2 linked regions of the Styela clava genome follow. The protein of the gene in region 2 purifies or fractionates together with the protein of the main gene of each other region. This does not show direct contact. Links are inferred from orthologs where the notes say so. Each region holds a gene or a part of one and is shown on either strand. Other genes may lie near its edges.

What was found.
Region 1: the proteins of transcription regulator protein BACH1-like (region 2) and uncharacterized protein LOC120332374 purify together in Homo sapiens (affinity purification with mass spectrometry; 6 studies listed by BioGRID and IntAct, counting the BioPlex papers as one, with this or other methods). This does not show direct contact. The link is inferred for Styela clava from reciprocal best matches to the Homo sapiens genes BACH1 and HMMR.

What each region holds. Positions count from the first base shown.
Region 1 is NC_135262.1:5,431,884-5,438,725, forward strand, and holds the start of uncharacterized protein LOC120332374, read left to right. Parts: upstream 1-3,840; 5' UTR 3,841-3,939; coding exon 3,940-3,985; intron 3,986-4,281; coding exon 4,282-4,505; intron 4,506-5,346; coding exon 5,347-5,493; intron 5,494-6,842. UniProt on the Homo sapiens protein: Receptor for hyaluronic acid (HA). Involved in cell motility. When hyaluronan binds to HMMR, the phosphorylation of a number of proteins, including PTK2/FAK1 occurs.
Region 2 is NC_135250.1:11,746,482-11,753,562, reverse strand, and holds the start of transcription regulator protein BACH1-like, read left to right. Parts: upstream 1-4,056; 5' UTR 4,057-4,187; coding exon 4,188-4,194; intron 4,195-5,001; coding exon 5,002-5,129; intron 5,130-6,556; coding exon 6,557-6,678; intron 6,679-7,081. UniProt on the Homo sapiens protein: Transcriptional regulator that acts as a repressor or activator, depending on the context. Binds to NF-E2 DNA binding sites. Plays important roles in coordinating transcription activation and repression by MAFK.

The sequences.
Region 1 (6,842 bases), on a different chromosome or scaffold from region 2:
AATCACTTTTATAGTTTTAAAAATATATATGAAAAGAACTATAACGCCATAACAAACAATCTTGATTAGCTAATAATCATTGGTCGGCAGAGGAATTGCATGTTTAAGGATGCCGAAATATAATTTCTGGAAAGTCCGGATCCGAATATCTTTGAAGTTTTGTATGCGGACCTTCGGTAAAAATAGTTGAGTAGCCCTGGTAGTATATGTACCGGGGCATTTTCCCTTAGGCCTCCACAATGGTACGTGCAGTACTGGAGCGCCGTAAGTTTTGTACGAACAGTTCAGATTTGTTGAATTCACAAAAATACGAATCAAAACAAAATATAATCGGGCACTTTACCATGCATTTTGTGTCCACTGATTGTCATGATATTTTCTGATTAGTATTGCTTTTATTTCGTCAACACAGCCGCAGATTAAAATGATAATCATTAAATTAATAATAAAGCAAGGTGGTGAATATGTATTTTTGATTTACAAATATACTTTAAGTATATTTTTAATAAGTACTAAATCAAATCTTGTACTTTCTAGAAATTTATAGCAGATTGTAGGATTTTTCTAACGACGATAACAAAAAATTTGCAAGATCTCTAAAAGTATGTATCAAACCTAAATATAATCGGGCAATATGTTAGCAGATTGCCGTGGCATTTTAAAGAAGTAATGCTATCATCTTGTCGTAAGACGACGCAACCGCGAGTTACCATGAACGCAATTAAAATAGAAAGACAATTTAAATTCTCGTCGTCGTCACTAAAAAGTCAACTGTTTTAACGGACGCGTAATTGCGGCGAAATTCTGATTTTGAAATTCGTTCAAATTCCGTTGTGTTTGATTTTATTGCTTCTTCACACAGAGTACGGTTACAATAAGCGGCTAAGCGCACCTTGAATCCGCAAAGGTTTTCGCTGGTGAGAAATTGGTCCGCGACCAAAAAAGGTTGGGAAACGCTGCGCTAGTGAATCTGTATGCATATGATGCAAGAATGCTGTAGCAGGAATAAAAATACCATACTATGCAGTTCAAGAGTCCTGCTGCACACTAACACAAATTTATTTCTGTAACATACAACAATGACAACTGCTTGTCTGAGAAAGTCTGATTTTGTTCATACGAATTGTTACAGAAATACATTCGTGTTAGTGTGCAGCAGGACTCTTGAATTGCATAGTTCATTATAATTGGCTGAAATGCTTTCTCGCTTGGGCTTGATAACCAGCTTTGGCTCCCCGCGTATTTCCTTCCCAGTAAAACTGTGTGGTAAATTTTATCTCATAATTCTTTTTTCTATCGTTGATTAATCGGGATTTTGTTTCTATGTGTGTTCGTATCTCTACTTTTTTATGATTCAATGTAGTCGGCTAATGTTGATATTCTGCTTCAATGCTTCTATTATCATTACTGTTTATTGGTTTGTCTGTTTATGTCAAGCATTTTTGGAATATATTCAGACTGATATAGTTGGGTTATTTACACGTAACATTTTACGTGTTAGTAAGTTAGTTAGTTAAGCTTTACGTGATACCAACATCAGAATCGCGTAAGTTTTAACGATTTTATGGGCCATTTGTCAAATACCCTGTGTTTCCTTCTTTAATTTTTGCAGTTGCATATCGGAATCACATTCAGTAGTTTGTAGTTTCTCGAGTTCAAATGCATGTATGTGCTTTAGAAAGCGCTAGACACGTACCGGTGTCATTTTCGATTAAATTTTATTAAGAGCAAATATGTTTTACGCAGGTGAGTGGAAGTAGTATGTATTTACGGTGGAAGCGAATGAAATAATACCGTATCTCGTAGAGCGTCATCAGATCCACCTCTGGGCACCACCTCAGCATGATGCGTGATTTTTCATGTACTTTTCACAAAAATCTTAAGCTGTTCAATATCTGCAATAATTAATTTTTAATGTATGAATTATATAAATTCACCATTTCCTGAAATAAATAACGCAACCATTCACCCGGTCCAAATAATTCCGTTCCGTTAATAAGCACAATCGTTTTCGCGGTATTTATTTTTCCCTTCAAACTGCCAGACGTTATTGAAGTTAATGGCCTTGTGCAGATCAAAGTGAATAAAGTCACTTTGGTGCAGATCAACTAGAACAGGGGTCGGCAACCTTTTGTCGCTCGCGGGCCAAAATTAAGGTTGCAAGTCATTGGCGGGCCGCACTTATTTTTAGAAAGTTTAAAAACCTAACGGATGGTACTTCTTAAAATAAAAATCAAGCAGTGATACATCTCTTGAATAGAATATAGTTTTATTTCCTCATTGCATCTCATAAAATTCCATTTCAATAATTTCAGCGCCATTGAACCCTTTGCACTTAGCATCAACTTTTCTGCGTTTTGTTGCCATTTGCCTAATTATAATTAAATTGTGTGCTCATTAAACGAGTAATTGTGAATTATATAATTGTTAGGTTATAATATAATTTAGTCTAAAGAATATATTCGTCAAAGCGGATGTTTTGTTACTATAATTTAGTGAAGCGTCGCGGGCGGGATCCGGCCCGCGGGCCGTAGGTTACCGACCCCTGGCCTAAGTAGTAAAATCGGAAAATGTGAAGTTACAAAATCACAGCTAAGGGGTCGTTGTCTTTAGAGGCGTCCCACTTTGATGTCACAAAAATATGGTAACCCTAATTATAAACGGATGTTTTGTTACTATAATTTAGTGAAGCGTCGCGGGCCGGATTATAGTGCTCCGCGGGCCGGATCCGGCCCGCGGGCCGTAGGTTGCCGACCCCTGAACTAGAAATAGTTTGTTGTTTTATGGACTTTTTTTGTTATGTCTGCGGGTTCGATGTTAGCATCTACCTGTACCAGTCCATGTCGGGTACCGGTATAGGATTAGTTTGTCTGTTAATTGTTGTTTATTTCGGAAGCATGTAGTTCTACTTCTAGTGCAGTAGCGTTGGGTTTACCGGTATATTAGTCGGTGTCTAGGCAGCAGATCATTAATGTCAGAATGTTGAAAGCATTTTGTCAATTGAGGAATTGTAGTTTAAGTATTTTGACTGTGTAATCAGCACCAGAAATGAAGTATTATGAAATTACCGGTACGGCAGTTACCGGTACCGGTATCTAATATCAGAATATATCGGTATATCACAAATAGTGTATCAATTTTGTAATCAGTGGATGTGTCACAGTGTCAGGGTAAAGGCGCGGCGGTGTGGCTCAATGGGCTAAGCGTTAGGCAGTTAGGAATACGCTCGCCACCGCACCTCTAATTATTCTGCGTGGTTCCGCAGGTCAGCAGGTTCAAATCCCATGTAGGGATGGTTATGTGCGAGAGGATTGCTGGACTCCTCGCCGTCGTTGGGTGGTTCACGTAACCGCTGGTCGGTTACGGCTTCCTCCACCACCAAGCCCATGCTTCCGAAAACAAACAATACAGTAGACTAAAACTAATCCCATTTGGTAAGACTTGGAATGGTAACCGGACGGGAGGCCGTGGTTCGCCATATGGCTGTATGGATAAGCCGGCTTTTCTTTCCCCCAGGATAAATATGTAAATTCTATCCCTCCTATCCTACTGTACGGTACCGTATATTAAGAAGGAGCACTCACTCATGGCTTTCGTTTCTTTCGCTAAAATGCAAAAATATGATTGCGGCTGTACAGCGTACAGGAATAGCATGAATGGTTGAATGGATTATACAAAGAACAGAAGAATTAGGCTTCTAACATCTGAACATGGAACATGCTGTACCAGGGCTCTCTACCAACAGACCAATAATAAAAACTATCCAAGACCATTGGGGCATTTTGATCTCCACTATCTGATGATCTGAACAAGTAGCTTATTAGAAATAACTGAAATTAGATTTTTGTTTTCTATTATGTGTTTCCAGTGTTATATATCTCTATGTGAATTACTTTCAAATTGTTATAATAGTTCCAACTTTCTGCCATCGGCAGAAAAATGTCATTTCCAAGAGCACAAGTAAAACGTTTCAATGAACAGCCAGGTAAGTTTCACAATTACCGGTACTCTGATCGATATTTTATAAATACCACTAAACATTGAAGTCCTATTTTAGTTGTCATGAAAAAGTCTAGACAGGCCTGTGGAGTCGTATGCTTCATTTATCCTTCTGTTTATTTATTATGTTGTTTTATAGTAATAAAGCAAATAGCCATATTTATAGCGGATCGACAAAATTTAAACTGCAGTGGGGAACCACTGTTCTACAACACATAATTTTTATCTGTTTAATGTGAGAATTGTTGCCATATATTGTTTTCTTATATTCTTAATTTCCAGGATGTGCACCTCCCCCTGGTCATTATACTGTGCCTGATATAAAAAAGAGTGGTTCTGGTATCTTGTCTTTTGAAACTGGAGGACAGAGATTCAAAACAGAGAATAAATCGGAGAGAGATGCCATTGATGATGTCACAGAACAACTTTCTACCGCATTAATCAATCACAATACACATTCTTCATCAAAAAAGAAATTAGATTTTGCTGTTCCTGCACCAGTTTCAGTGAGTTTTATGTTATATTTTAGTAGTTTCCAACCCTTTTGCAATATTTTCTACCATTTACCCATCTTCATTCGTTCCTGGCTAAAAACTCATTTTTTGTTTGTTGTTCTCATTAGCTAGTGATATGCACAACTTGTATGCGTCTCTGTTCTCTTTTCTCATACATTGAATAATTTATAAAATGTGCGCATAAACGAGTGTGAGATATTACGGAATAGCTAAAACATGTACTACATGCAATAACAAAGTAAAAATTCCCCCAAGGTTGGGAAACCTGGTTATATTCGATGTTTGCCAGCTATTTCACCTCATCTACATCTTTTTGGGGGTATGAATATTTATTTTCAAAAAACAATTCTGCTTTTTATTCAGACTTGGTTGTTGATGATATTCAAATGTGAAAGATTCTATATTCCTTGAAGTGAACATTCCCTAATATGTAAATTATTCTATCAATGTAGTTATTGTGTATTTTATTTATGTGACATCCATAGATGGCTTTAGAAAAATAAAACCTCTTTGTTTATTTATCTTAAAGTGGAATAAACACTTTCTGGTATTGAAGTGTTCCTTAAATTTTTAATTAGATCGTGATCAATAATATTTTTTCGTTCACATAAATAGTTCTGATTTGTTGATTTAGTATTAGAGTCTTTTTTTAAAGAGCAACATATAGAGCAAATAATTTTGAAATAGTATCTTTCAATTTATTTTGATGATGTACAGCAGTGAATTCGATTAATCCTATCAGATATCCCACTTTATTTTTCATTACGTAAAATCTAATGTCACTAAAAATGTCAATTAACAATGACTAAACCTTTTTTACAATATTTACCAGACGAAATCAAAATCCAATTCAAATAAAACGACACCTCATCCATCTCCATCTATGAATGGCAAAGATAAACAACGATATGAAAAAGAAATCCGAAGCCTGGTTCAACAAATTAGCGAACAAGAGAGAAAATTACAACTCAAAATTCAGGTAAATATTTTTGGTCATATAGGACATAGGTTCTCAAAGTGCTCCGTACGGAGCCCCAGGGCTCCGCGAGAGGAACCCAGGGGCTCCGCGAGCTATTCAATTACTTTTCAAAATACTGACTAATTTTGTAACTGTTTAAAGAAGCAATAACAGCTTTGATAAAATCTGACAACAATATGGCCTCGAATTATGGCAAAGAGGCTGAATTAAAAAATGACATTATTTATAAGCAGGAGCGCAGCCAGGATTCTTAAGAGGGGGGTGGTTCAAAATTGGAATCGGAAATTACCGCGCAACATTCTTCGCGATTAAAAAAAACGTATAACGAGATTTCTGTTGTGTGAAATATTCAATCCATGACCAATGCGAGCATTTAACGTGTCTCGTCGTTATAATGTAATTGTGCTCATCGTTACTCACGTTCGATTCGATATTACTATTAGGATTACTAAAATGGAAGAATATTATTCTGAAATAACATAAAATATGTGATAAACTGCCAACTATCAATAAATTGGAGTCGTATTTTTGCGATATTGGGATTTGTCAAACTTGATTTGTTCTTTCGCACTTGAGATTATTTTTAAGCAAGATATCGCCCTTTAAAAAAACACAATGTCTGGGCAAAATACGAACAATTGAAATTTATTTTATTGCATTCGGCTCCGTCGGTAGTTTCAGAATGAAAAAAGGTACATCGCGGATCCCGCGCACAATTGATTGCGTGCGGCTCCGTCGGTAGTTTCAAAATGGGAAAAAAAGGTAAGCCTTGCTCAGGAATATTAATCCGAAAGTAACAATTTTAACATTTATTTTGGGGCTCCGTGAATAATAGTTAACCTTTTCAAGGGCTCCGCAACATCAAAAGTACCCCTGATATAGGACATTTGCTGCAGAAGTTGTCAATGAGGTATTTAATGGCTTCTGCTCCAGAGTCATAGTTTTAATGTACTATGCAGGCAGTGGAACTGGAGCTTTATTTTTCACTTCTGAGTCCTGAACATGGCTGTGGGACAAAAATACATTTGTCTTAAAAATTTAAAATTAAATTTCAATCAATTTATAAAAAAAATTATACTCTAAAAGGGATAGATTCTATTACTTTTATAAAATTATATAAATAGGAAAAACTAATTTGACTGTTTGCTGCTTGAGCTATTAAACTTCCTGGCAGCTGCGACTACAGCTCTATCAATTATGATAAACTTGACTTTAACAAACGCTAGGGGCCGGCTTCCCAGCCATTGTGCAGAAAACCAATTTCCCAAATACTTATTTAAAAACCAAGAAATACTTTTGGCAATAGGCAGAGTTATCAATAAAGATGTAATGCGATGCCGATGGATTTT
Region 2 (7,081 bases):
GAGAGATTCACCACGGCTTAATTTTTGTAAGAATGTATCTTCTTGAAGAAAATCTTTATCAAAATTTCACAAACCATGCGAAAATATTCACCTCAATGTTTGGAAGTACATATCTGTGCGAACAATTATTTTCGAAAATGAACATTACAAAGAACAAGCAAAAAACTAGGATTAGTGATGCCCATTTAGAAAATCTTCCAATCTTGGCGTCGTGATCCTATCAAGCGTTATGCAGCAACAAGTCAGTGTCACATTGAATGTCATTGTAATATTTTTTTAATACGACGACTCAGTTGAGTTCACGAATTGTCGCAGTTTCCGCACGATGTTCCGTTTTTAACTTTCAAAAAATATATGCGATCCGCAAAAGAATAGCAACCCTAAATTTTGTCCCTCGAGCGACTTAAAATTTACCGACCCCTAGGCCATCCGAGTCCACGAATCCAAAACAAATGGCTGATTAATTCTATAGAGTGATCGGACTGGAGGACGTGGTAAGATGAGGAATCGGGGATGCATTTTACCGGAGACCGTTATATATATATATATATCATGTATTTTGGTGAAGGTCATCAGGCTGCAGGGATGAATAAGATTTACGAAAATCATTATTATAAGTTTTGGAAAATTAATTTTGTTTTCATTATTTCAATGTGAAATGGGGTAAATTTACGGAATTAAATGCAAGAGTACACGGCGGTTTTTGAGGAGGTAGAACCCTGAATTCTTTCATTTCCGACCTCTGATATGGTGAAAGAGGGGTTTTTAGCCGTGCTGCTATTGCTATCAAAACAACTAAATCGCCTTTCCATCAGTAAACGGGGTAATTTTAGATGTAATGAAAAACTCGCTGAAAAACACCAAGCTCATCCATCTCACTAAAAAACACTATAAACTATGATTTGTCTCCTTATTTGGTCTGTAATATATTCGTTTCAGACTTTCAATTTTTTTTGCAGTGCCGGGGGGGCGATGAAGTTGTATAAACTACTATAGGGGGCGATGGTACAAAAAGTTTGGGAACCACTGGTCTATACTATACGTACAGCCAGCGGAACAATACGAAATAACCATTTTCAACAGCCAAACAAAACGGGAACGTATAATCCGACTTGCAACTGAAAGGAGCCAAATGGACGTTTTGTTTTTTTGCCGTCCAGTAAACAAAGTCACGCGACCCGTGCCTCTATCTATACTGATGTCTTATTTTGTCCTATAATAAACTGTAATATTTCTGTCTACTGTTGATTTAGTAATACCCAAGACACATCACACAATGTACTTTTCAATTAACTTGAGGATAATATACACATGTAAAATTAGTAATTGTTGTCCACTGACGTCCAAAAATCTAAGGTTGATTTTCCTGCGCTCCATCGACATCTAGTGTTAATCCGGACATCAGAAATAAAATTGTATTGGATTATATCATTATATTGTATTTAGAACAACAGGCCTTCCTCGCGGCAAGAATTGGTTCCACTTCACAATTTCGCAAGTACCGGTATCACAGGTTCTATTTCAGTTCAAGAAGTTTTGTTTCGTGAAGTTATTTTCAGAGCTGTTCTTCACATTATCTAAAAAGTGAAAAGAAGTTATTCAGGAGGTTACGGTATTCAAGTTTTCCACTAATCGGCAGGTTACGGCTTTCTCTACCATCGAGTCCATGCTTCCGAAAGCAAATACCGTAACTCTGTAACTACTGAATCCCATACCCGACATGGAATGGTAACCAGACGAGAGGCCGTTAGGATAAATATGTAAAATCCTATCTCAGTATCTAGGAAATAGGCTAATTAAGTCATGTCTGCATGTGCTGACAACAGGACAATGGCATTCTGGCATTTGCATTTTGTTGTAAAGCAGGGTTGCGCCTGTACGCCAGCCCACAATTTTTCAGATTTTGCTCTCTTATTTTTATAAATATATGCATGATTAACCTTCTGACTTCTATGAAATTCTGGACTAGAGTGACCTTGGTCTTCTGAGACAAAAATATTGATCTAGCCTAGGTACTTTCTGTATTGACTGAACCTAATTTCGGAAACAAGAAAGCAATACTTGAATACACTGATTTAAATGGCAGAATGTGGTATGACAGATTAATTATAGATTAATCTCTGAATCCAAATTTATTAACACAGTACGGCATTTCAGCCTTTAGAGTTTCGAGACAGAGAGAGTTCCCTGAATTTGCAACTGTGAATAGATCTTCAAGGTTTTTCCCATGAAGAATCAAGTCATAAGATATTTCACTTCATTGAAATTCATTGTCAGATTGTTGATTCTGCATATTAGTTTTTTTGTCTTAACTAGAAATCTAAACTGGAGAAAATCTAGAAAAAGTTGAGAGGATACTGGGAGACAGTTAAAAATCTAACCATTTCAAAAATTGTTATTTGAAGTTTCTATTCAGACCAATACTTCATATGTTCATTCAACTCCTAACTGGCAGATAATTCTAGTCGGTTACTTTAACTTATTCCAGTATTCGTCAATACTATAGGTCAGCGGTTCCCAAACTTTTTTTTCATGCGGCGCCAATTTATTAGGAAAAAACACTCACGTCACACTTACACCAAAAAAATGCTGCTTCTGAGTAAAACTCAATTTGTGATTGTTAATATGTAGTTTATTCTATTGGAGTTTGTAAACATGCAGGCCTGACAGCCTGAGGAATAAAGGCAGATGGTCAACTTTTCTTCCCCATCTCTGCCTGATTTTTCTTTGAAATGCAAAACAAATCACTCATGTTCGCTAAATACTGTTCAGCTTATAAATAAACTGCAGCTCGCGTTATTGCAGCAAGCAGTAGCTATCTCTATTGTTACGTAACAATAGAGGTAAATACCACGTAACAGAAAGTAAACGACATAGAAAGGTAGAATGAATTTATTGATTTATATACACATTATTTAAAATAAAAATAAATAGAACATTTATAATAAATACAATATGTAAAATATTCAGTTACATGTTAGTTATTATGTTTAACCAAATTTTGTTAATTTTTGTGACGAATTTGTCACGTCGCACCCTTTTCGGAACCGCTGCTATAGGTGATGTATATTATAACGTAAGTTACCCTATTATCTCCAAATGACCATTTTCACATACCACCTTGAGCATCGCCCCACTGTTGTCGCACTTTGAGATACTTCTGATTATTAGTTGTTTTCAGATTGGCCATTGATAAATAGTAAACACATTCTGTCACCCGGTGGCATAAGGCAGTTTAATAAAAACGTGCTTTTTTTGATGACGTCATCACACAAAACTTTGAAGTGAAAAATGTATCTTATAGATTCCACATAAGTTTTTGAAATAATATAAGTAATAAACACTTCCAGCGACAACAATCTTTAACCACTAAAAATTTCAAAGCAATTGAATCTATATTTATAGAGAAAAACAACTTTTTATAACAACAAAAGGAAGAAAAAATACCAATATTACTAACAACAACAATAATTTAACAAAATGATCCATAGGTCCAATAATGCAGTTATGAGAGGGAAGGAAATCAAAACAGCTCTGGAGAAATTTATTGTAAATTTATTGAAAATTTTATAGAAGTATTATAGACTTAGGATGAATTGCAATAAAAAGTGGCAATAATAGGAGATAACTTGCAATAATTTCAGGAAAACAACAAGACCCATAAAAGTTTAAAATATAACTAAAAAGGGTTTTATACAAACGCTTGTGACCCCCTCAAATATTATTCATTATTGAAGACTTATTATGGTTGTTAGTTAATCTACCCAACTATAATTTTGAAATGATATATCCATACAAACAGAGTGAAGACATATAAATAGATAAAGCATAAAGACATTCTCATAGATTTCAGTTCCTAACCATAACTAATATCACTGAGATCACACAACCGCTAGGATTACATACCGAAGGACCACCGGTAACTCGTCAAACTTTTCTTGAGTAAACTAGATCCCTTATTCATCACTTTGGATTTCCAATTAGTTGAAACACGAACACCAAGTGGTTGTCTAATTTATGCATATCGGTGTAAACAGAAACACCATATCCATAACTATCTTCTTTAATTTAATTTCAGACTTGTACTCATATTGATACTATAGATTGGTATTTATGGATTAACTCGAAGATAGATTTTGACTACAGAGAAGGATATAAGGATTTGATCTGAACTTTCATTATTGAAGATGGCAGGTACTGGAGTATTTTTTTATGATTTGATATTATGTAAAATCTTATATTATATAATAGTGCAAATTCCTGAAACCTATTATTTTCATCAAGGTTATGTTTTCTCTGTTAAAATTCAAACCCACAAGTTTCGCTCAGCTGCTTATAACTACTCACGGAATAGAATTATGACATGGCCATTCTAACTTTTAAATTCAATGTACAGTGACCTCTATGTGTTTTAGTTCAGCTCAATTTGAATTAATGTTTGATATTCTTTATTAAGAGTATCGTTTTAGAATCTGCTCGGAATAGTAGTGTTATTTTTGGACATCCTTGATTGAAAATTGCAAAATTACAGTTAATTTTGAACACCCTTTACAGCCAACAAGTCTATATAAATATGCTGAGAAAAGCAGAAAGTATATTTACAGTAGTTTCCGTCACTCACTTTGTTGTGTAATTGTTATTGAACTATTGTTGTAAATGATTTCATTTCTGTACATTTGTTTTGGTTGGAGTTTCTGAATGATCCATTATGAGGTACTCCCGTAGTATGTGTACCAGCTTAGGGTTAGGCCAAAATTTTATTTCGAATTTCCTTATTTTAGTTCTATTACCAGTTTGGGGACTGGCTGTGTTAGCAAGTGAATATCCTCCTTGAGGTTTGAGTCCCTTTACACAACTTGATGTAAAATAGGCGAACAAAATTAGTTACCTCCATATTTGTACACATACTTCTGGAGCGCCCATTATGATGTATTTGGTCATACATACCCGTACTTCTGATACATATTGCTGTATTAAATTTATTTTCTGTCTGTGTTTTAGGTGCCATGCATTGCGATTTACCGCCAGCTTATGTGTATGAATCAAATATTCATATTGGAAATGTCTTGATAACGCTGAATGAACAGAGAAAATGTGGATTATTATGTGATATATCAATCATGGTTCAGGTATGTCAAATTATTAGATCAGGAGCATTGTTTAAAAGTTTTAAAAAGGTTTGTATTGTTGTATTATAGTTCATAGTGTGCCTCACTCGTGTTTAGTGATGAAATATTGCTCTAGTTCTAGGTAACGGTATTGTTCCATACAGTCAGACAGGAGACATCTCTTATTGTTATTCGTAGTCTTGGAATGAGTCATCCCACTGCTGACGCACGCACGAATTCTTTTCAAAACATGATTAAGCTAGTTTTGCTTCTGCTTCTTTAGTTTTTAATGGAAGATGGCTATCACTTCTGTTTTCTTTTACTTTTTCCATCTGAGTGTAATAACAACATTCAAACTCTATAATAGGACAGATGTTATCTCAATTATTAAAATGCAATCATATTATATCAATTTAATTTTAATATGATTTGATGCAAGACATATTTCTCCATTACTGGTGGAAACTACTCAACACCCATTTGTATTTAATAAAGGAGTTAATATATTTCATTCAACCTTTGTTCAGTAACGGTGCATCTCAATAAAATGAATTCAGAAATATTTTATTCATAAAAAAGTTCAAATTTCTGTTTTTTTTTCTTCTAAACCTTATCATATATATTTGTGTGGCATAGTGATTTTACACTGTAAAATTGATCTTACTTTCGATTCGGCTAAAATAGACTGTTTAGAAATATATCACTTTTGATTCAATTCAGGATAATGAAATGTGGCTTTACAGATATCCATGTTTTCCCTGCACCAGTAGTATGCTTCTATTTATAACTGATAGTCAAAATTCCGAATTAAGCGAAATTAAGCAAGAAATCGGTGATGTTTAAAGAGATTGAGTGGAGTATCTTTCTCTTGTATATAGAAATTTGTTCATGTCTATTTTGCGAGCCATATAATCCAATCTTTTATTGAACAATTGCATATACATTAAGCTTTTTATTAATGTTGAATTATTGCTAATGGAAGATCAATCACTTGATATGGTCACCGGTCAAGTTATCTGTTTTATTGCTAAAGCTTCAATTTTGACTTGATAGTGTTATATTCATGTGCTATGGACTACCAGAATGAAGTGCTTATCAAAAAAGCATGACCATATATAAACAATTTTCTATGGTGATTTATTTAAATTTGGTGCCATTGATTTCAGTTGAATTGATGAAACTGGTATTATAGTTGCTCGGTCTGATACAAATCTATTCACTTCAGTTTGTTAAAAAAATATCTGGGAGAGAAATCAGTCAAATTTTTTTATTTCAGAATCTTCAAGTGTCCATGATATTATCAGATTACTATTTGCTCTGCCAATATCTAAACTAGGCTAAGTTACTGAAATGCTACAGAATAAACTGAATTCTTACTAAAGATATTAACATGAAAATGTTTGTTAAAATGTAAAATTCTGAGAACCAAATGTTTTGTTTATTTTCAGGATGCAGAATTCAAGGCACATAAAGCTATCTTGGCATCATGCAGTTCTTATTTTAATAGAATTATTACAGATCCAGCGAACGTTTCTCATAATATTGTTTTGGAATTGAGCAGTATAAGCAAGTTAGTAGTTTTCTTGTGTATTAGTGTTTATTTTCATATCATATTCATCTTACTTTGTTTAAATTGAAAAACCTATTAGTTATTACAGACAGTACTTGTTTGATATATTTATTAACTATCTATTAGAAGATAGAGCATATCTAGGGTCTGGTATAGTTTAGTACCACATCCACTTCTAGTTGGCCTGACTCAACAATTTTTGCATATGTCAATCCTAACCCCCACCTGACTACGTCACCGATAAATTACGTCATTCCGACGTCACAGTGGCGTGATAAGGCCCACCGAAGTATGCGAATGGTCGTCCAAAACACGCAGACGATAACCCGAAATCAAGCAAGCTATTTCTCTCGTTTTCTCGTCGCAACGATCACGATAGGAGAGAGATAGATCGTCGGTTTTA